Linked DNA regions of Oryctolagus cuniculus. The protein of the gene in region 3 interacts with the protein of the main gene of each other region in a biochemical or structural test. Links are inferred from orthologs where the notes say so. Each region holds a gene or a part of one and is shown on either strand. Other genes may lie near its edges.

The links. The genes of interacting proteins can lie anywhere in the genome.
Region 1: the proteins of KPNB1 (region 3) and KPNA3 form a complex in vitro, tested with the Homo sapiens proteins (2 studies listed by BioGRID and IntAct, with this or other methods). The link is inferred for Oryctolagus cuniculus from reciprocal best matches to the Homo sapiens genes KPNB1 and KPNA3.
Region 2: the proteins of KPNB1 (region 3) and KPNA4 form a complex in vitro, tested with the Homo sapiens proteins (2 studies listed by BioGRID and IntAct, with this or other methods). The link is inferred for Oryctolagus cuniculus from reciprocal best matches to the Homo sapiens genes KPNB1 and KPNA4.

The regions. Positions count from the first base shown.
Region 1 is NC_091440.1:69,011,419-69,019,234, forward strand, and holds part of KPNA3 (importin subunit alpha-4), read right to left. Parts: intron 4,859-7,816; coding exon 4,727-4,858; intron 3,858-4,726; coding exon 3,729-3,857; intron 475-3,728; coding exon 370-474; intron 271-369; coding exon 199-270; intron 52-198; coding exon 1-51. UniProt on the Homo sapiens protein: Functions in nuclear protein import as an adapter protein for nuclear receptor KPNB1. Binds specifically and directly to substrates containing either a simple or bipartite NLS motif.
Region 2 is NC_091435.1:120,212,882-120,220,697, reverse strand, and holds part of KPNA4 (importin subunit alpha-3), read right to left. Parts: intron 7,720-7,816; coding exon 7,630-7,719; intron 7,532-7,629; coding exon 7,502-7,531; intron 7,412-7,501; coding exon 7,359-7,411; intron 2,427-7,358; coding exon 2,331-2,426; intron 1,930-2,330; coding exon 1,844-1,929; intron 1-1,843. UniProt on the Homo sapiens protein: Functions in nuclear protein import as an adapter protein for nuclear receptor KPNB1. Binds specifically and directly to substrates containing either a simple or bipartite NLS motif.
Region 3 is NC_091448.1:24,008,180-24,015,995, reverse strand, and holds part of KPNB1 (importin subunit beta-1), read right to left. Parts: intron 5,429-7,816; coding exon 5,281-5,428; intron 5,002-5,280; coding exon 4,930-5,001; intron 2,792-4,929; coding exon 2,647-2,791; intron 1,584-2,646; coding exon 1,501-1,583; intron 1,017-1,500; coding exon 909-1,016; intron 250-908; coding exon 106-249; intron 7-105; coding exon 1-6.

The DNA of each region.
Region 1 (7,816 bases), on a different chromosome or scaffold from region 3:
CAGTAAGTTGCAGAAAGGTGGTATTACGTTCTGCTGTACAAGGTACTCAACCTAGACAACAGAAGAGAAGCATTTTTATTTACATAATTACCTTGCCCCCAAAAAGGCCACAGGACAGAGCTTAAAAACAATTTGCAACTCCTAAACATCATAATAGTATATTTTCCACTATTAAAATGAGAGTTTTGTCAAACTCACTTGATCTTTTCTGCCACTTATTGTTAAGTTGCTAATTGCCCAAGCAGCTTCTTTTTGTGTTCCAAAGTCCCCCTGAAGGTTGAAAAAAGAAATCATAAAATGAATTCTTTGTCCAAAAAGCCTTGGTTGTAACAGCAAAGCAAACACGAAGGAACTCATGATATAACTGACCTTAGCAAGCTGATGAATAATCATAGGGATTAATCCAGCATCTATTACAGCTTGAACTTGTTGCTGGTTGCCTGCTGTTATGTTGGAAAGGAACCATACTGCTTCCTAATTGAATAAAATACAGGTCACTTTAATGAGAGAAATCATATCTTTAATGCTTTTATATTTTTATTTTAAGATATCTTACATACACAGTAACAAAGCTGCCCATGTTAAAGAGACTGCATCTAAAAAGGATTAGGTTATATAAAGCTTCTCATTTTAAGCGAGTTACAAGCAAACTTCCATCTATAATATTTGGGTCTCGTATATCTGGTCTTAATCATTCAATAATATGTAAGTCCACTAGCCACCAGGCATTTCTCTAGAGAATGATGATATAGGAGAAAACAAAACATAAAAATCTCTATGGAGCTTATATTTCTTTATATTAGCTCCCTCTGAAAGACAGAAATAAACATAAGATTGAATTTCTGAATACTATGTTAAATAAAGCTGCTTTGCTTTACAAACATTTAGTCACAAGAAATACTAATTCAACTATTCTACAGAAACTAAGCATCTAACTAGTCTAAGATGTATTTATAGAATACAAATATTCAAATCGTAAAGGACTTGCAAGCCACAGATAGGTGTATTATAATATTAGTTACCATTAGTCAAGTAGGCATCTCATACATACTTATTCCTTTCCCCCTATGATACTTTCATTTAAGGACATACTGTATCACAGAGCAAAACCTCTCTCTACTTACTTCTATCTGGCTTCCTCATTTCTTAGCTGTTTCCAATTATGGATACACTCAGCTATAACAATCACCTTATATTGTGGAAAATTCTATAGTAAAAAATAATTGGCCTAGAGTCTCAAAGTTTCTGGTTTCATCATCTTCACTGAACAACTGTATCTATAAATGATTTTTGACAACCTTCTTTTCATTAAAAATCTAGCCGTCAAAATATAGTCAAGCAACTATTTTAATTATTAGATAATTAATATTTAATTATGAAACAGAGGAAGAAATGATCAATTCTGCTTTGTTTGGGGAATGGCAGCAATTTAGGCAGATAAAACTACATTGAGGGCCGGCGCCGTGGCTCACTAGGCTAATCCTCCGCCTTGCGGCGCTGGCACACCAGGTTCTAGTCCAGGTCGGCACGCCGGATTCTGACCCGGTTGCCCCTCTTCCAGGCCAGCTCTCTGCTGTGGCCCGGGAGTGCAGTGGAGGATGGCCCAAGTCCTTGGGCCCTGCACCTGCATGGGAGACCAGGAGAAGCACCTGGCTCCTGCTTCGGATCAGCACGATGCACCGGCCGCAGCGCGCTGGCCGCGGCGGCCATTGGAAGGTGAACCGATGGCAAAGGAAGACCTTTCTCTCTGTCTCTCTCTCTCACTGTCCACTCTGCCTGTCAAAAAAAACAACAAAAAAAACAAAAAAACAAAAAAACAAAACTACATTGGGGCCAGCACCATGGATCAGTAGGCTAAGCCTCCGCCTTCAATGCTGGCATCCCATATGGGTGCCAGTTAGTGTCCTGGCTGCTCCTCTTCTGAGCCAATTCTCTGCTAATGGCCTGGGAAAGCAGTAGAGGATGGATGGTCCAAGTGCTTGCACCCCTGCACCCACGTGAGAGACCGGGGCGAAGCTCCTCACTCCGGATTGGCCCATTCCAGCCATTGTGGCCACATGGGGAGTGAAACAGTGGATGGAAGAATTTTCTGTCTCTCCTTCTCTCTATCTCTACCACTCAAATAAATAAATAAATAAAAAGAAAGGAATGAAGTTCTGACACATGCTACAAAATGAATGATTCTGAAAATACGCTATGTGAAGAAAGCCACACATAAAAAGAATTAAGTATTACAAAATTAACAATAGATTTATATATAAAGTTTGAAATCTTAAAAAGTAACAGTTTCTTATGACCTTTGAATTTAGGATCTCCACTTTAGATCTCAATTTTATAGGGAGATTAAATTCTCTCTTTAAGAATGGATACCATTGGGCCGGTGCTGTGGCGCAGCAGGTTAACGCCCTGGCCTGAAGCGCTGGCATCCCATATGGGCGCCGGTTCTGGACTCGGCTGCTCCACTTCCAAACCAGCTCTCTGCGATGGCCTGGAAAAGCAGCAGAAGATGGCCAAAGTCCTTGGGCCCCTGCACCCACATGGGAGACCTGGAAGAAGCTCCTGGCTCCTGGGTGCTGGCTTCGGATCAGCACAGCTCTGGCCATTGAGGCCAACTTGGGGAGCAAACCATCGGATGGAAGACCTCTCTCTCTTTTTCTCTCTGTAAACTCTGACTTTCAAATAAATAAATAAATAAATCTTAAAAAAAAAAAAAAGAATGGATACCATTCATTTCAGTGGCAGATTTTCTATGCTCGCTCACCTAGGGCTACCAATTTAATGCTGTGTCTACTCCTCAATCTATTTAAATATAAAGCCTAGCACTTAACACATCAGTTAAGACACCTGCATCCTATATGAGTCTCAATACGCAGCTCCAGTTTCTGACTCCAGCTTCCTGCTAATGTACATGCTGGGAGGCAAGAGTGGTGGCTCAAGTAAACGAGTTCCTGCCACCCACGGGGGAGCCCTGGGTTGAGTTCCCAGCTCCTGGCTTCAGCTCAGCCCAGCTCAGCCTCAGCCTCAGAAGGCATCTGGGGAGTCAATCAGGGGATGGAAGTGCTCCCTTTATCACTGATTCTCAATAAATATTTTTTTAATTAAAAAAATTGAGAGCCGGCGCCGTGGCTCAATAGGCTAATCCTCCACCTTGCGGCGCCGGCACACCGGGTTCTAGTCCCGGTTGGGGCGCCGGATTCTGTCCCGGTTGCCCCTCTTCCAGGCCAGCTCTCTGCTATGGCCAGGGAGTGCAGTGGAGGATGGCCCAGGTGCTTGGGCCCTGCACCCCATGGGAGACCAGGAAAAAGCACCTGGCTCCTGGCTCCTGCCAGGATCAGCGCGGTGCGCCGGCTGCAGCGGCGGCCATTGGAGGGTGAACCAGCGGCAAAGGAAGACCTTTCTCTCTCTGTCTCTCTCTCTCACTGTCCACTCTGCCTGTCAAAAAAAAAAAAAAAAAAAAAAAAAAAATTGATCTAAAAATACTTTTTATTCTGTGATAATCCGGGAACCTCTTAGAGGAAAAATTTAAAGTTCAAAAAACCATGCCTCTCAAATAAATTTTAAAAAAGTTCAAAGAAACAATTACAGATGGCATTTAAAACAATTCTCATCTTAATTACAGTGGTTTTGAAGAAAATTAGTCAAATGAATATCAAAGAAACAAGGGGACAGTTAAAAACGAGGTGAACAAAAAACAAGAAATATAATGATGAGGACATTACATGTCTTACCTTATTTATTTTCTCTTTCGGATGTGATAAGAGATTTGGGAAGTGTGACAGGACATCACAATTGAGAACAACCTGCGTCTGCTCATCAGTGCCGGTCACTATATTGCCAACTGCTCTGAGTGCTGCCGTCTAGAGTGGGGATAAAATGTTCTCTAAGTTTGTTTGTTTATGATGAAACTGAGTCAATGTGTTTCATAATTCTGAGAAAATGTAAAAACGCAAAGGGTAAACGATGAACACTTTCTTCATTCTCAGACTAGGCATCAAGCAGACTGAGCAGCTGTGAATTTTAAACAGCAATCCCACAAGAAAAAAATGGAACTTTATGGAGAAACTATGTGAAAATTCTTGCAAAAAATTTAAAAAGAGGGGAATTAAAATAAAAACCAAATATTTATTTTTAAACAGCAATTTTTACCTATTACTAAATTGGCACCACAAAAAGATGTTAAAAGAAGAGCTGCAGTCACTTTAGCAGAAGTAGGGCAGTAGCAGCTATCAGAATTATCAGAAGTATAAAAAAATACACAAAACATGAATCTTGCACTAAATAGCAGCTCAATACAGGTAAGGAGAGGCAGATTTGAAAGCTATACCAAAAAATAATAATCATAAAAGACTTGATAATGGAATGTAAAATAAAAAAAGAATTCAGGGTTTTTAACTTAGACCACGCTATTCACTGAAAGGGGATACAGGAAGAGGAACAGGTTCATGGGAGAAGATCATTTCAATTTTGTCTGGTTGGAATACAATGGAAAGCTTGTAGGATTTCTCAGAGGATGTCTAAATGGTCAGAATCAACTAGCTATGAGTCTGAAATCCAGCAAACAATCTGAGGGAGACAAATATTTGGAAATCAACAAAATCATCATAAGGGACTATGGGAAAAATCTGGAAAATAAGTGTTTATAGACAGAATTTAAGCACAGTTGTATAAATTAACTAATTATAGCAGCCATAATTCTATACAAGTAAAAAAGATTTAAAATACTCACTTGAACTTTCACTTCCTGGTGGCTCAGAAGGGGCACAAGAAATGGCACAACCCCAGAATCAATAACCATCTGTATCTGCTCATTACCTCCATCTGTCAAGTATGATAGAGCCCAAACAGTGTCTACAAGAATCTACAGGAAGGAAAGCAGAATATCCAGTTCATGTATTTGTTTCAATGCCTAAACTACAGAACATATCTCAGAAGTGGTGACAGAAAAGGTAACCAAGTTTTATCTTTCGGCATGTAAACAAAAATATCAATCTACTGAAAGTAGTAGGTCCTTACACCCTCTCTCAAAGTCCGTATCAGATCACTCTGCACAAAATTGACACATAGAAGTCTGGGACAACTTTTATCCCATCTTAGCATTTATGTATTAGACAAATCATTTTAAAAATAGGCAGAGGGGCAGGTGTTGTGGTGTAGTAGGTTAAGCCACTGTTTGGGAAACCTGTGTCCCATATAAGAATGCTTGATACCAGTCTTGGCTTCCTATCCAGCTTCCTGCTAATGACCGTGGGAGGTATCAGTGATGGCCCAAATAGTCGGATTTCTGCTTCCCAAGAAGCAGACCAAATGGAATTCTTGGCTTATGGCTTCAACCTATGCTAACCCAGCTGTCCTTGCAGAATGAACCAGCGGATCAAAGATCTCTCTCTCTCTCTCCCTGCTCTGGCACTCTGCCTTTCAAATAAATCTTACAAAACAAAAAAAGAAAAAAGGCAGAACAGAAATTCTTTCCGCTCCCGAAGTCAGAAACCAAATAATGACATGAAAACATATAAAGAATGAGGTCAATGCAACATGCTACTTCAAGTCTAGAAGACACTAAAAAGATTATGTACCTATTCTACTGATTTTCAAATGCTTAGTAATTCAACTTTGCAGACTATTAAAAACTAAACAGATAAATATCTCTGCTTTTTAAATAAATAAATAATTAATTATTTAAAAAAAAAAAAAAAACTAGGCTCAGAGACTTCATGAACTCATTCAACATAAAGGAGTTTGTACATGGCTTTCCTTGGTGTCTTCATAGAGGAATACAACCACCAGCCTCGTCTCATGTAAGATTCGTATTATTGACACTTTGCTGCCCTAGAACAATAGCAGCCACCTGAAATCATGTATCCTTCAAAAAAGCATATAAATAAGAAGAGCAAATAAAACCATATACAACCCAAGCCTTCAGCATTACTGCAAGTCAGAATACTAGAAATTTCAAATTACCTGTAAGGAAAGAAAAAAATGAATTCTAGTTTTTGTTTGAACCTCCTGTCCTAAGCTCTGTGTGAGACTTCAAAGAAGAGTGAGGAGTTTATCTCAGAAGGCCAGAGACTGGGGGCTGATGTTGTGGCCTGCAGTGTCAGCATCCTTTATCGCGCCAGTCGGAGTCCCAGCTGCTCCACTTCCAATTCAGCTCCCTGTTAATGTGCTTGGGAAGGCAGCGGAAGACAGCCCAAGTGCTTGGGCCCCTGAACCCATGTGGGAGATCCGGAAGTTCCTGGATACTGGCTTCAGATCAGCCCAGCTCCGGCCACTGCAGCCATTTGGAGAGTGAACCAGCAGCTGGAAGATCAATCTCTCTAACTCTGCCTTTCAAATAAATAAATAAATCTTAAAAGAGCGGGGTGGGGGGGGCACACAAAACTGTACCCTGCAAAGCCAAAAACATTAGCTCTACCTTTATCCAAAACCTTACTAGAGTATAAGCTTCTTTCATCTAACAAATGACTGAGGAAACGTCAGTGGGAGTCTGATGGTGAGCATTTAATACATCTGATCGTAGATCAAGGGCTGGAAAAATATTTCAACTTAAAAAATGAGAGGGCAAAAGCTATGCCTAAGAGTAGAGTTCATTTACTACTCCATGTGGCAGTGAGAAGGTCTCCCAGCCAGGGGTATACAGGTGCGTAGGTGTGAACAAAGCCTGGCTACCAACCACTCTGGCAGTTACAGGTAACAAGATTTACACAGAAACCACAGTCAGACAACCTAACACCTCAAACATACAGCCACACTGAAAACTACTACCATATCAAGAGTCAGAAAAAATCTCAACACAAAAGAGGAAAGGCAATCAACAGACGCCAACCCAGAAATGACATAGGACACTGGACAAGGACTTTCAAATAACTATCAAACAAATGCTTCAGTGAGCAATTATGAATATATCTAAACCAAAGGTAGGCAGTTTCAGAAAAGAAAAAAATACAGGGGAAAAAAATCAATGAACTCAAACTCAGAGCAATAAAAGCCATCCGATCTTAGTAATAGAAAAAGAAGGAATGAAAAGATGAAAATGAACAGAGCCTCAGGAACTTTTAGCACAATATCATTAGATCTAACAAATGCCATCCGGGCCCCTTCTAATAAGCGGAACTGGAAAAAATATTTGAAGAAACAATGGTGAAAAATGTCCCAAGTGTGGCAAAAAACATAAACCTAAAGATTCAAAAATGAGAGTATGAGCTGAGAAAAAATGGAATAAGCTCCATTGATCATTGTACAGGTAACAGGAATAAAAAAATACCATATAAAATCATTAAAACTGGGTGGGAATTGTGGCACAGCAAATTAAGCCATCACTTGGTATACCCATGTCCCATGTGGGAATGCCTTGGGTAGTTTCCAGCAAATGCACTTGGGAGATCCCGATTAAGTTCCTAGCTCCTGGCTTTGGCCTGGCCCAGCCCTGGCTGTTGTAGGCACTTGGGGAGTAAACCAGAGGATGGAAGATGTCTGTCTCTCTCTTTTTGTTATCCTGCCTTTCAAATAAATAAATAAAAATCAGCGACAGGGACTGGTGCTGTGGCATACTGGGTAGGGCTGCCATATGTAGTGTCGGCATCCCATATGGGCACCGGTTTGAGTCCTGGTTGCTCCACTTCCGATCCAGCTCTGTGCTATGGCCTGGGAAAGCAGTAGAAGATGGCTCAAGTCCTTGGGCCCCTGCACTTGTGTGAGTGACCTGGAAGAAGCTCCTGGCTTCGGGTGGGTGCAGCTCCGGCTGTTGCAGCGATCTAGGGAGTGAACCAGCAAATGGAAGACCTCTGTCTCTCTGCCTCTGTAACTCTGCCTTTCAAGC
Region 2 (7,816 bases), on a different chromosome or scaffold from region 3:
CAAATATCAAATAAAGTTCATAAAATTTCATTTACAATTAAACCTGGGCTTAAACCTAATTTTAAGATTAATTCAGGGGCCAGCGCTGTTACACAGTGTGGTAAAGCCACCACCAACAGTGCTGGCATCCCATATGGGCGCTGATTCGAGTCCTGGATGCTCCACTTCCCATCCAGCTCTCTTCTATGGCCTGGGAAAGCAGCTGTGTGGGAGACCCAGAAGAAGCTCCTAGCTCCTGGCTTTGGATAGGCCCAGCTCTGGACATTGTGGCCGTTTGGAGAGTGAAGGAGTGAACCAGCAGATGGAAGACCTCTTTTTTTCTCTCTGCCTCTCCTCCTCTCTCTGTGTATAACTCTGATTTTCAAATAAATAAATAATTCTTTTAAAAAAAGATTAATTCATCAAATTTGAGAAGAAAGTTCCAATATTGAAATAACTTTTAAGCACTTTAATTTAAATAAACATCATGTGGCTGAACAGACAGGCCAGTGATTCCTGGACCACTTGAGACCTTCTGAATCAGGAAGTAATTGTATTGCTCAATAAAGATGGCAAACACAAGACAGGCCTTTGTCTGAACAGACTAGTATTACACTGAACAAGTGACTCTTTTTCTTTCTTTCCCATATAACTTTGAAAAATGCTATTTAAATATGAGGTACCTCAAAAGCTTGTGGAAAATGGATTAAATGCTAACTTTTGGTGCACACAAGTATTCATATTCATACATGTAGATTAATGATGATTACTTATAAAAACCTCTTTCTGATCTTTAAAGACCATATGAAACAGAAAAGGAAAAAGGTAGGGAATAAGATATTGTCTTGAAAAAATAAAATTTACCTAGGAGTCAACCATATAAAACCAAAAAAAAAATCACATTTAATAAAACAAAAAAAATATGAATCCAAAATTTAATTTTAATAGAATTTAAGGTAATTTGTTTTTCTAATATTACAACTATCTACATAATAAGGTACTAACTTAGATATCATTTTTGTTCCCTTTCAAAATCAAAAGATTAGTGCTTACGATTTTACAAGCTTAGACAAGTATACTGCTTACATATTTAAGATGCATTTTTAAAGTTCCTTTTAAAAATTATTAATTTCTTTGGCGGAAAAATTAAATAGTACTCATGAAAACAATATACCTGTTAGTATTATTATTACTATTTTAAAATATTTATTTATTTATTTATTTGAAAGTCAGAGTTACACAGAGGGGAGAGTGAGAGAGAGGTCTTCCATCTGATGGTTCACTGCCCAATTGGCTGCAACGGCTGGAGTTGAGCTGATCCAAAGCCAGGAGTCAGAAGCTTCTTCTGGGTCCCCTATGCAGGTGCCAGAGCCCAAGCATTTGGGCCAATTTGCACTGCTCTCCCAGGCCACAGCAGAGAGCCGCATTGGAAGAGGAGCAGCAGGACTAGAACTGGCGTCCATAAGGGATGCCGGCGCTGCAGGCAGAGGATCAACCTACTGTGCCATAGTGCCGGCCCCAAAAACATAACTTCTTTAAGAGAAGCTGAAACACAGTATGGCAATGGGAAAAATAATTTTATTTCTTCTGATGTCCTATAAATAAAGTATAACTATAATAATATAATCTGCTATTACAATTAGGAAATTACCCAGATTTTGAAAGGAATTAAATGAAGTTTTAGAAACAGAGTGTGTTGGTCAACTGAATAAGATTGCTAGGCTGGTCTACTTCAACAACTCTACATGTTATTGAGTAGCTATAACTTTACAACATAAATAGCTATATTTTTTTAGGAGAATCAGCGGGTTCTGTTGACTTTTTTTTGAAAAAATACAATGTTATTTGTTAATAAGCAACTTACTGGATTGAACTACTGCTTGAGTTTGTTCAGAGGTTCCAGATGCAATGTTCGTCAAAGCCCATGCAGCTTCAAACTGTAAAGAAGGACTACAAAACAAATAAACAAAAACAAATAACTTCAAACAGTAGTTATTTTCACATTGGTACAAATTTCTATCAACATCGCTGTCCACAAGTATTTTAAATATATTAAATATTTGTCTCTAAACATTCAGCATTTCTGAAACCTCCAAGGCCTTGTTTTCTCAAGTACCTACATGCTCAACCTAGTTCCTGTTAATTTTCAAAACTTAAACTAAGTCCCTCTTTGGCTTTTACCTTCATCTGTTGGCATAAATATAATTTGCATCATTTTTCCCATTCCTTTTGACTTTTCAATTCCATCCCATAGCTCCTGTCTTTTTTCTTTAAAGATCAAACTATCTACTAGAAAATCTTTCCTTCTCAAAGGGTACATACTAAATTAAAAACAAAGAACTTGTACTTACTTGTCATCTCTTTCAAGACAATGAACTAAAATAGGTAATATTCCAGATTTTATTAAGTCATCAATTGGTGGATTTCGATCACTGGACAAAAGCTTTCTGTAAGACATAATATATATGTATACATATAAGCTCCTTATGAAACTTGATGATACACAATATTAAAATGATCCAAATTCATATTTGACACTGTCATAAATCTGAATATTTGGTACAATTCTCAACTTGGAAATTTCATGTGAATTTGAAAGGCAGAATTACAGAAAAAGAGGGGAAAAGACAGAGATCTTCCATCTTCTGGTTCACTCCCCAAATGAATACAACAGCTGAGGATGGGCCAAGCTGAAGCCAGGAGCTTCATTCCAGTTTCTCACATGGGTGTAGGGACCCAAGCAATAGGGCCATCCTCCACTGCTTTCTGGGGCACATTAGTAGGGAGCTGGATTGGAACTGGAGCAGCCAGGACTGGAACCAGCACCCATATGGAATGCCAGTGTTACAGGTGGCAGTTTTACCCACTATGCCACAACATGGGTCCCTGAAAATATTTCATAACTTATTTAATGCAATCTTTTTGCTAATTTTATAAAAAGATTAATTTATGACTTAAATTTAGAGATGAATAAAAATTACAAAAATATCAATTATGAACCACTATTAGTACAATGTTATTCCTTAATGAGTCCTGAAGATAACTTATAAAAAGAAATTAAATATTTTATGTAAATTATTAATTTGAGAGGCAGAGAGACAGAGACAGAGAGAGACCTTCTATTAGCTGATTCATTTCCCCAAATGCCCTGAACAGCTGAAGCTAGGCCAGGCTAAAGCCAGGAGCCTAGCACTGAATCTGGGTCTTCCACATGGGTGGTAATGCCCCATGTACTTGAGCAATCACATGCTACCTCCCAGGGGGCACATTAGCAAGAACCTGAAATTGGAAGTGGAGGTGGGACTTGAATCTCCAGGCATTCTGATAGGAATTCAGGTGCCAAACGCCCACATCTACATGTTTTATATATGTTAGTATTACTTACTTTTGAGCTCAGAGAAGGAACTAGACAAACTCTATATAACACCTACCTTGCTAAGAAAGGAATTAAGAGATCACCAAAATATACAAAATTATTCACACTAGGTCACAACAGTCAAAAGACAAAAGACTTAAATTGCTGCTGTATTTTATTGCTGATATTCGTGTTCAATTCTTCATCCTACTCTACACTTAAAAAATTAAAGAGCATAAAAGCTCAACAACATTTTCATTTCAGCAACTAAAGAGAAATGGAGTAAGTACACCATCATACAGGGAAATACCTAAAGAGATGCTGGATATACTAAGGTAAATAATACACGTAGATTCCTGTCCTCATTGGGAAAAAAAAAAAAAAATCCAGTGTCTATTTTCAGATGTAGAAGATTGAAGGTTTAGCTGGTAATCCTCAGTGTGGCCTAACACAAATCTTTACCCAACTGGAATCCTCTGCACTACTATATGAAGGGAATTGTTTTAGAAAGCTTAACCTGATCATCCCCCTATATAAACTAAGAGATGGTTGCTTATTTTTACTTTATCAAGGTAAATTCTTTGACCTAGCTTTAAACTGCTCCACAAAAAGGCTGTCTTAACCTAACAAATCTTATTCTCTAAAACTCAATAATGTGTGGGTTGTATGTACCATTTCAATTTCATTTGCAGGCCCTTCGAATCTTACACCTCTTACTTTCCAGTTCAAGTAGTATGTTTTACACATCATCAATGAATTTCAAGAGTACTTACAGAGCCATAGTCCTACATTTGAATTGAATACCTTACCTACAGAGAATGAATTGTAACAAATGCTATGAAAAGTGTTTTTCCATACCACATGCTTATAAAGAATCTTAACCTAGTCTCTTTCAACTGAAGATCCATGAGACCAAGGGTCAAGATTTAACAAAAGATTTTTTTTTTACTCCTTCATTGAGGACATTTTGAAAGAGAAGTGGTTTTTATTCTTTGAGGGTATAATGCTGAATACAACATTATTTTATAAAGTTTGTTTGTGAGAAATGGTGACTTGATCAGCCCTCACCCTGACTGTTGATGAGCAACTTAATATGTTATCCCTCTTAGTATTTTTTTGTTTGTTCTACTTAATACTTTTGGTTGAATACTGTAATCAATACACAATTATTCTTAAGTGCTGAAACTTAACTGTAAAGTGATCGCTGTTAAATATAAGAGTGGGAATAAGCGAGGGAAGAGATGTGCAATTTGGGACATGCTCAGGCTGACTTGCCTCAAACGGTAGAGTTGGAAACATACCAGGGGATTCCAATTCAATCCCATCAGGGTAGCATGTACCAATGCCATCTCACTGGTCCCAGTGATCAGTTTCTGTTCATTATTGATCATAATGATGGGACTAAGAACCAAAGGGATCATATGGACAAGAATAGTGTCTGCAAATACTAGCTGATAGAATCAAAAAGGGAGAGAACGATCCAACATGGAAGGTGTGATGCACAGCAGACCCATAGAATGGCAGATGTCCTAAACAGCACTCTGACCTCAGAATCAGCCCTTAAGGCATTCAGATCTGGCTGAAATGCCCATGAGAGTATTTCAAGCATGGAAAGCCAAGACACTCTGGGGGGGAGGGGGGAACTACATGAAAGATCTCTGTGAGATCCCAGTGGAAAGAACGGGTCATCAAAGAAGGAGGTACCTTTCTCTGAAGGGAGGAGAGAACTTCCACTTTGACCATGGCCTTGTCTAAATATGATCAGAGTCGGTGAACTCAGGGGGCTTCCATAGCCTTAGCAGCTCATGACAAGAGCCTAGGGTGATTACTGAGGCCATGAACAAGAGTGTCAATTTGTTAAGTCAACAACAGGAGTCACTGTGCACTCACTCCTCATGTAGGATCTCTGACCTTAGTGTGCTGTACATTGTGATTTAATGCTATAACTAGTACTCAAACAGTATTTTTCACTTTATGTTTCTGTGTGGGAGCAAACTTGAAATCTTTACTTAATGTATGCTAAACTGATCTTCTGTATATAAAGAGAATCGAAAATGAAAAAAAAAAAAAAAAGTTTGTTTGGTGCCACTATCTTAAATTATACTAAGGTACCAGAAGTTTTAAATCTGTAAGTGCTTCTGCAACACCAACATAAAGGTTAGTACCACAAAAAAGGGCAAGTCAAGTCTCAGAATTATTGTGAAAACCAGACTATTCTTTCAGACTCCTGAAACTGTCTCAGGATCTCCCAAGGTTCCAGACAGTACTCTGAGAATCTCTGTTTCAGGGGCACTGGGCTTTAATTTTCATGCAGAACTCATGTTGGAAAGAATAGTCCATTAACTTGGACAACTGCGAGCATTAACTGATTTTTTATTTTTAAGACAACTTAAGTTTTTCTTAATATTTATTTATTTGTTTGAAAGGCAGGGTTACAGAAAGAGAGATCTTCTACCCACTAGTTCACTCCCCAAATGGCCGCAACGGACTGAAATGGTCAGATCTGAAACCAGGAGCAAGGATCTTCCAGATCTCCCATAATGGGTGCAGGGGCCCAATTATTTGGGCTGTCTTGCCCTGCTTTCCCAGATACATTAGTAGGGAGCTAGATTGGATATGGAGCAGTTGAGACTAGTGTGCATCCATATGGGATGCCAGCCTATGGCACAGTGTGGGTCCCCAAGCATAACCGATTCTTTATCATTCTTCGTATAAACATCAATTGCCATTTTGAGATATGAATAGTTCTATAATTCTTTCCTGCATGAAAAAGTCTTTAGAAGTTATTTTTATCTGTGGTACGTCTAACACTGTAATTCTATAATGTCCCTATCTGTTCTAGATTAAGGTAAATACACAAGGTAGGAAAAGTCAAATAATTATAAAAGGGATTCATTTACTAGACAAGACACTGGATGGGCCTATGTAATCTTTTTCTATTTAGAAATTTAAAAAAAAATTTTACTTATTTGAAAGGCAGTGGGAAAGAGTGGGAAAATGAAGGAGGGGGTGGATAGTAATCTTCCATCTAACGGTTTACTCCCTAAATGGCCACAATGATTGGGGCTGGGCAGGGCTGAACCCAGGAGCCTGGAACTACATCCAGAGCTCCCACATGGGCAGCAAGGGCCCAAACACTTGAGTCACCATCTGATGCCTTCACAGGCACATCAGCATGGAGCTGGATCAGATGCAGAGAAGCTGGGATGTGAATGGCACTCTGATAAAGGGATGCTTGCATTGCCAGAGTTGATTTACCTGGCTGTACCACAATCAGCCCCTATTATGAAACTCTGCAACTAGGATCAATTTCCTGTATAAGGTCTCTTTCCCACTGATAATCACAACATAAGGTATTATTCTTATATTCATAAATATACAAAGCAACCACTATGTTGTATTATGATACAACTGTATCTTTCTCAACCTATCTGTTTATGCAAAGATCTCAGTAGTTAACTTTTTCTGGCTCTTCCCTTAAAATATGAAACTTAAGTTTGTAACAGAAATGTGCAAGATAATTTGGTATTTCCAGCCGAGTTAGACACTGAGAGCATATGCACCTCTAAATCTTAATGTCTATTTGTCCATACACTGATGCAGTGAGTTCATAATTCTTTATGTACTGCTTGATTAATATAAACATTGTGAGAAGAATTAGCTACTTGGTTAACTGTTAGCAAAAGAAGCTTTGCAAATGATGTTTTTCTACCACTCTGTGGCACTGATCTGTCAAGTGACCTTTTTCCTATCATAATACCTATATATTATGCAGAATAAAGCTTCAATGTATTTAAAGTACACCTTTCAGCGCAGAAAATGTGTTGAAAGTACACAGTTCATTGCTAACAGTTTTAATACTCTGAATCAGAGAACATTTTTTTTAGGATAAATGATCTATGACTGTTTTCTATTATCTGCCATCAAAGCTAACACTGATTCATAGGATTACACATAGTTAACAACTCAAAATAAAACCTCTGTTCAAGTTTTAACTGAAACATGTCCTCAAAATTTAACTTACCTAGCAGCCTGAACTGCACTTAATTGAATTCCTTGGTTATCACTTGAAGCATTCTATAAAATATAAAATAATTTTATGTTGTAAATGCACAGTAATTAGTATCAAGTCTAACAAATAAACAGAGAAAATAAATCCCAACTTACTTGAACAATAGCTTCTAGAGAGGTATTTTGCTGGGAAAAAAGTTAAAAAGAAATTAATTAAAAGCCATCTTAAAATTCCATTATTTATGTAAAACTTTCATTGAATCAGCACAATATTAACAACTTACCACTCTATAATCACCATCTATATCAGAGTCTTCACAGATATCCTCATGCGGTACATTCCTTCTCTTTAAGAGATGTTCATCTCTTTTATTCTTTTAAAAAAAAAATCAAAGAATCTCATTTAAAAAAAACGTTACATACATTTGTAAGTTAGGCAATCCTGTGCCTACAAACTGAATGGCGTGCCTT
Region 3 (7,816 bases):
GTCTGACTGTAAGAGACAAAGAACAGAACCCCCAGCAGACTGATCAGCTGTGGCTGTTTGCCAACATTTGGAAAAAAAAGATGCGCAGAATAGTTTCATGCTCACCTTGTCCACCTGGGCTTGGGAGGCCTGCTGAAGTGTGTTCAGTACAACCTCTAAGTATTTTTTAAATTCCCCACCAAGAGCAAGGGCGATGTCACCAAACACGGACAGTATCTGTGGCTTCACCGACCTGTGCACGTTCTCATTCTGCCGGGAAAAAGAGAAAAGTAACAATAAATAAAGCCAAACTTTTTCAGTCAAAAGACTCATAAAACTTTCCTTTTTTTTTAATTTTATTTTTATTTTTTGACAGGCAGAGTGGACAGTGAGAGAGAGAGACAGAGAGAAAGGTCTTCCTTTGCCGTTGGTTCACCCTCCAATGGCCGCCGCGGCCAGCGCGCTGCGGCTGGCGCACCGCGCTGATCCGATGGCAGGAGCCAGGAGCCAGGTGCTTCTCCTGGTCTCCCATGGGGTGCAGGGCCCAAGCACCTGGGCCATCCTCCACTGCACTCCCGGGCCACAGCAGAGAGCTGGCCTGGAAGAGGGGCAACTGGGACAGAATCCGGCACCCCAACCGGGACTAGAACCCGGTGTGCCGGCGCCGCTAGGCGGAGGATTAGCCTAGTGAGCCGCGGCGCCGGCCCAAAACTTTCATTTGTAATAAGCAACTACTACTAAGTACTTGAATGCCCCTTCAAAAATTAACTGTGGTTCATCTCTGCAGAGATTATGTGTTTACTTTTCCTTGGTAATCGACAGCTTCCCCCCAAGTGAAGCAGGCATCCTTTACAACCTTTCACTGGAATCATCGTGAACATGACGATGGGATTCTCCAGGCTGGCTCCTGAGCATGCGCAGACACTCACCCCCAAGTTCTCCAGCAGCAGCTGCATGACCTCGTCACAGAAAGGCAAGATGTTGGACTGCAGGGCACGGCATAAGTCTCCCACCAAGCCCACAGCTGCCAAACACACCTGCAGAGAACCAAGGAAATAATCGGCCTGACAGAAAAAGCTGCCTGCACGGGAAGACATTAGTTTTACCCAGCTGCTGGTCCTGCATCACCTGAACTTATTCCCCCCTTGCTGAGATTAAGACCAATGTGGCAGGAAGGAAACTAGGACTATTCCCAGACACCACTGAGTAAGGAAAGACAATATTCACCAGGGATGGCGGTGGCAGACCAAGGTGGGGGGGTGTTTCAAAAAGCCTTCCTCTTTAGGGTGCTTCAGAGTGTAACTCTGCCGTTGCCTTTACACTACCTAGACATTCGCTCTGTGCTTCTCACGTGGTGTAGCCAACACCCTGTTTTTCACAGCCTACTCCTTGTTCAGACAGAGGCAACAAATAAGGTAGCTGGACTTTTGGAGCAAAGCTGGGGAAACCATGTAGGCTACAGAAACCTGCTGCTGTCTGTTCTACAGTGACTCTTGCATAAATGTCAAAAGCATATCCTACCTGGTACTCAGCATAATTTTTCAATCCAATGCCCAGGAAGGGTTTAAAGGCCTCCATGTACTTGAGAAATTCACCACCCAACACTGTAATGAAACAAACTGTTAGCTGAAGACTGCATCACAGGACGGCAGATGTAGACAAAAATGACCATCCTAAGTCTTACTCAACATGGCAGGGTGGAGTGAGAGTTAATTATTCTAAGACAGTAAGGCTGTCTTGCACAAGCCAAGTTTACAACTGCTGGAAAGGCCTAATTCTTAGGCCCTCGAGATAACACCACAGCCAGTGCTCTGCAGGATGGGGTTTTAGCTGGCTGAGACAACCAAGTGGTAGGGCCCTCACACAGGATGGAGGTTAGCTGTGAACTGGCTGAGCCAGCAATAAGGCCTCTTGTCTCGGCAGCTAATCACAACACATGCCCTAAGGCTAGCTTCAAAACAGGGTCCCCAGGCAATCCCATCGAGCACTTAACAAGCCACAGCCAAGAAAAGCAGCACTGGCCTTTGGATACGAATCAGCCACTCCAGGAGCCAAGATTAACTTCCTTGCCCTCTAAGGGCAGTCACATTATGCCAGTTCAGTTGGACATAAGCTCTGCGCACCAGAAGTAGGTCTGAACCTCAGGAGAGTCCTCCTCAGGGCACGGCCTTAGTAAAATACTTGCAGGTCACCCCTGAAGAGATGTTCTAGGTTTCTAAAGTGCTCTTTAATGTGCTTTTGCTTCCCCATGCCGAATTCCTACAGCACGTTCAATGTTTCATCCTATGGCATCCCAGGCACTGTGAACACAAAGCACTACTGCCCAAACCAGGGGCTTCCAAGTGCCAGAGAAGGAGAGAACTTTCACTTCTTCCACCCTTGACAGGCGCCAAACATCAATAAAGTAAGTTGACTTTCAGGGTAAGAAGGAACCTGATGAACACGGGAGAATTAATTCAGTTTCCACCAATCTGACTTAGCTGCAAACTGGCGCCCCGTTTACCTTAAGAGTGGCAAGGCAATCACTCAGGTTCAATCCAACTTTGAACCAACTCACACCCCAGTGAAAGATCTACGCTTTTTGCAGTAAAAAAGAAAAAAATTCTCCAAGGCCACTCAAACGCCTACCTTCTACAGAAACCACCTGCCCAGTCCCTGCTCACTAACCTTCCACCAGTGTGCTAACTGCCATCAGGGCATCCTCTTGCACTCCCCCAGACCCAGCTGTGCTCTGGAACATCCTCAACAGGGAAGCCATGACCACATCAGAGATCTGCAAGGCATCTTGATGCTGCACTTTGCGGAGTACATTCTGTGAAGTAAGTAAGAATTCAGGATCCATTAACTCCAAATCCTTCAACCACAACACTATACCTTTTGCTTTCAAAATAAATTAAGTCCTTTGTTCATTTTTGGAAGATCAAATATACACTTTAACTTAAGAACTTTGACAGTGCAAATATGCATTACAATGCTCACTCTAGTATCTCAGATTCTGTTTATTTATTTATTTATTTTTTATAAATATATTTGAAAGGCAGTAAGAGAGAAACGGAGAGTAAGTTTCCATCCAATGGTTCACTCCCCCCCAAATGGCCACAATGGCCAGAGCTGTGCCAGGCCAAAGCCAGGACCCTGGAGCTTCTTACAGGTCCCTTACATGGGTGCAGGGGCACACCACTTTCCCAGGTGCCATCAGTTGGGAACTGTATTTTAAGTGGAGCAGCCAGGACTTGAACTGGTGCCCTTATCGAATGCTGGTGTCACAGGCAGTGGCTTAACCTATGGTGGCTATGCCACAATGCCAGCCCCAGATTCTATTTCTTGACTCAAAACAAAACCCACTTAGTCCCACCACCTGAAAAACTGCTAGTAGTTTCCATATTCCAGCCTTACTGGAGTAACAATTTGTTTTAAAGGTTACATCACTCATAAATAAAAAACAAGCCTTCTTACACTCCAACCCACATACAGATAGCAGTCAAAAAACAGTCTGGATAAAAATGAAGCCAGTCTGACTTCTCCCAAGCCATACTCATCACACTCCAGGGTACTCTTCCATGTGCCTCACCTAATGTTACCAGATCAAGCAGTCCTGTATTTTCTCTGATGAAAAAGGAAGATCCCAGGAGGCTGGCACTGTGGCGCAGTGGGTAAAGCCACCACCTGCAGGGCCAGCATCCCATATGGGTGCAAGTTCAAGTCCGGGCTGCTCCACTTCTGATCCAGCTCTCTGCCTATGGCCTGGGAAAGCAGTAGAAGATGGCCCAAGATCTTGGGCCCTTGCACCTGTGTGAGAGACCCAGAAGAAGCTCCTGGCTTCAGATAGGCCCAGCTCAGGCTATTGCCGCCACTGGGGGGGTGGGGTGGGGGGTGTGTGTGAAATAGCAGACGGGAGATCTTTCTCTGTCTCTCTGCATCTGTCTCTGTAACTCTTCCTTTCACATAAATAAAGAAAAAGGAAGATCTCTTAACCATCATGCCTTAAAAAATGAAGTATGGGGTAAAAAAAAAAAAAAAAAAAAGGCAAAGTTTACAGGTAAGATGACCTTGTTAGCATTAATGAATATTCCAGAACTTTCCTGTTCTGTGGCAGATTAGGAAATAGCTCCTTAGCCACTTCATAAGCAGAGAACGACGTTTCAGTTCCCCAGTCACTCAAAAAAGCCTACTGTGAACACAACGATAACGAAGCTTCCAACAGCAACTGCTTCAAAAGATGACGAGTGTCTGGTGCAGCGGTTAAGACACTGCTTGGGAAGCCCCACTGCTCTCTGTAGTGCTCGGGTTTGAGTCCCAGCTCCACTTCTGATTCCAGCTTCTTGCTACTGTGCACCCTACAAGCCAGCAGACGATGGCCCGAGTGCACAGGACCCTGCCACCCCCACAGGAGACCTAGATGCAGTGCCATGCTCCAAGCCTCAGCCTGGTCCAGTCTTGATTGTTGTGGCCATCTGGGGGTGAACCTCCAGACAGAAGACCACTCTCCGCACCCCTCTCTCTGTCACTCTGCCTTTCACATATTTTTTTAAGACATAGAAAATGTAAAATTTGTTTAACAACAACAAAGACAAAAGTAGAAACTCAAAGATATATATTTGTAGCCAAGTAAACCATAGTTGGAAGTCAAATCTAATTTTAGTTTGTACAACCTAATGACAACCAAGACTAAAAGGAGCTAATATAAACTAGCTGTACAGCTGGGAGAGACCATCACACACTAAGTAATTTCCTTCTTTATACTGTGAAAAAGACAAACTTGATTTTTCTGGATAGACAGGAAATTACTCTTCCAATCAATCACAGCCCAAAGCCTTCTGAGAGCTTCAGATCAGCACCATCTATCTACACCTACACAACTGCACAGCTCTCTGTGTACATGAACTTGTCATCCTGAGACACGCAGTTTCTTCCTCTGAGCTAGTAAGAAGTGATACAGCTCTAGCATACCTGAAGAGTTGCGCAGAGTAAAGACTGAAGGTCATTGAACTGGATCCTATCGGATGTGCTCTGGATATGTGACTATAAGATAAAAAAAGAAAACGTGTTCTAAAGAGAATCCTTCCACTCTTGTTAGGGTTCCTGAGACCATTAAGTTATTTTTATTAATACTAATGTAGGAAAGCAAATAAAAACACATAACCCACATGCACATGAGTAAACTGTGCCAAGTAATGCTTATGTAAAGTTGTAATAGTTTCTGTATAGCATGACATCTTTCTAAGAAAATACATACTGAAACACCAAACAGTCGTGTGTCCAAGGTGCTGCCCTCTCCAACAGCCAGGGATGCTGACTCACCTCCATCTGAAGCACCTGCTGCAGCCGCTCCATGATGACCAGGGTTGTTTTCTGCACTGCAGGGTAGCAGTCCTTGGCGCTGTTTTTCACGATCTCCATGAGAGATTCATACGCAGAACTCCTCAGGTTGTTCTGGTGGCCATCAGGTCTGCACAGAACACACAGCAAAGTTTTTAAACCTCAACTGATTAAGAAAGGACAGAGGAGCTGTTATGACATAGACACTGGCCAAAAGTAAGAACCCAGGCTGACATGATTGGAGGCCAGGCTTGAATTTAGCAACAAAATATCCAAGAATCCAACTTCCGAAAAGGTCTCTGCAAGCGATGTCTACGTTGGTTATGGTCTCCAGACCTGTTAAAATGCCCAAGTCGCAGGGCCGGCACTGAGGCCTTAGTGGGTTAAGCCGCTATCTGCAGTGTCAGAATCCCATGGGTGCTGGTTCAAGTCCCAGATGCTTTTACTTCCAATCCAGATTCCTGTGCACCTGGGAAAGCAGTGGAGGATGGCCCAAGTCCTTGAGCCCCTGAGCCCACATGGGAGACCTGGAGAAAGGTCCTGGTTCCTGGCTTTGGATCAGGCCAGGTTCGGCCGTTGCAGCCATTTGGGGAGTGAACTAGTAAATTGAAGGTTCTCTCTGCCTCTCAAATAAAAAAAGGGCCGACAACGCGGCTACTTGGCTAATCCTCCCCCTGTGGCACCGGTACCCCAGGTTCTAGTCATGGTTGCTCCTCTTCCAGGCCAGCTCTCTGCTGTGGCCCGGGAAGGCAGTGGAGGATGGCCCAAGTGCTTGGGCCCTGCACCCGCATGGGAGACCAGGAGGAGGCACCTGGTTTCTAGTTTCAGATCGGCGCAGCGCGCCGGCTGCAGCAGCCATTTGGAGGGTGAACCAACGGAAAAAGGAAGACCTTTCTGTGTCTCTCTCACTGTCTAAAAAAAACCTCTGCCTGTCAAAAAAAAAAAAAAAAAAAAAAAAAGCTAAAGTGCCTGGAAAAGCACTCCTACTCTCCCTTCTCATGTGGGAAAACCGGATGAAGCTCCTTGCTCCTGGCTTTGGCCTGGCCCAGTCCAGGCTGCTGAGTTCATTTAAGCAGTGAACCAGCTGACAGAAGATCTCTCTCTCCCGACGTCTCTCCCTCTCTAATTTTGACTTTCAAACACATAAATTAATGTTTTAAGTGCCCATGTTGCACCCTGGAGTCCTTGGGTTCCATCCCCAGTTCTAGCTCCTGGATCCAGCTGCCTGCTCATGCACATGCGGGAAGGCAGCGGTGTTCACACACGCAGTGAAGCTCCTGCCACCCATGTGGGGCATCTGGGTTGCACTTCCAGGTTCCAGCTTCAGCCCTGTCCACTGTGGGCATTTGGGGTGAACTAGCAGATTGGGAGCTCTCTGTATCTCTCAAAAGGTCTGAAATAGGGCTTTCTGAAATGTGTAATGGAATCCTAATTTAGGGACAACCTCTAATCTTTGTGTTTTGTGTGAACTGAAAAGTAAACCATCAGGAAGGGACCAGACATAAATTCTTCCGTGTTTAACTAGTCCTTCCCCATTGCTCTGTGCAAGATTGTATAAAATGACATCTCTTGGTGAATGAAGAAAAGTGGGGTATACTCTCGTAGAGAGCCAGACACTATCTTGATTTGTCCAGGAGCCAAGGACTCAATCTAGGCCTCCCATTTAAACGGCAGTAAGAACCCAATTACTTCCGCATCTCAGGAACCACCTTAGCAGAAAGCTGGAAATCAGGAGCCACAGCGAGCCAGGCATCAAACTCAAACCCAGGCGCTCCAATACGGAATACAGCATCCTAACTGCTAGGTCAAGTCCCCACCCCAACTCTTACCTAAACTCGGAGTAGAGAACCCTTTTTTTCTGTTAAGGGCCACTGGGTATTTGTAATATCATTAGAAGACAATTAAAAATTATCAACTTAAAAATTAGCCTGCTTAAAAAATTAGTTTGCTAATAAATAACTAGATTTATTGAATTTCAAGTCCCATCTGTGGTTGCCCTGGCAGGTACAGACCAAATGATTTCATGGAACTTATATGTCCATGGGCTAGCCATTCCCCACCCCTGTAAACAAGTAATTTCTTTCTTCTCTTTTTTTCTTTTTTTCTTTTTTTTTTTTTTTTGACAGGCAGAGTGGACAGTGAGAGAGAGAGACAGAGAGGAAGGTCTTCCTTTGCCGTTGGTTCACCCTCCAATGGCCGCCACGGCCGGCGTGCTGCAGCTGGCGCATCACGCTGATCCGATGGCAGGAGCCAGGTACTTATCCTGGTCTCCCATGGGGTGCAGGGCCTAAGTACTTGGGCCATCCTCCACTGCACTCCCTGGCCACAGCAGAGAGCTGGCCTGGAAGAGGGGCAACCGGGACAGAATCCGGCGCCCCGATGGGGACTAGAACCCAGTGTGCCGGCACTGCAAGGTGGAGGATTAGCCTAGTGAGCCGCGGCGCCGGCCTAACAAGTAATTTCTTAAGTGTACTTTCAACCTCTCTAGAGCAGATACAGTGCGCTCCTGTCTCATGTT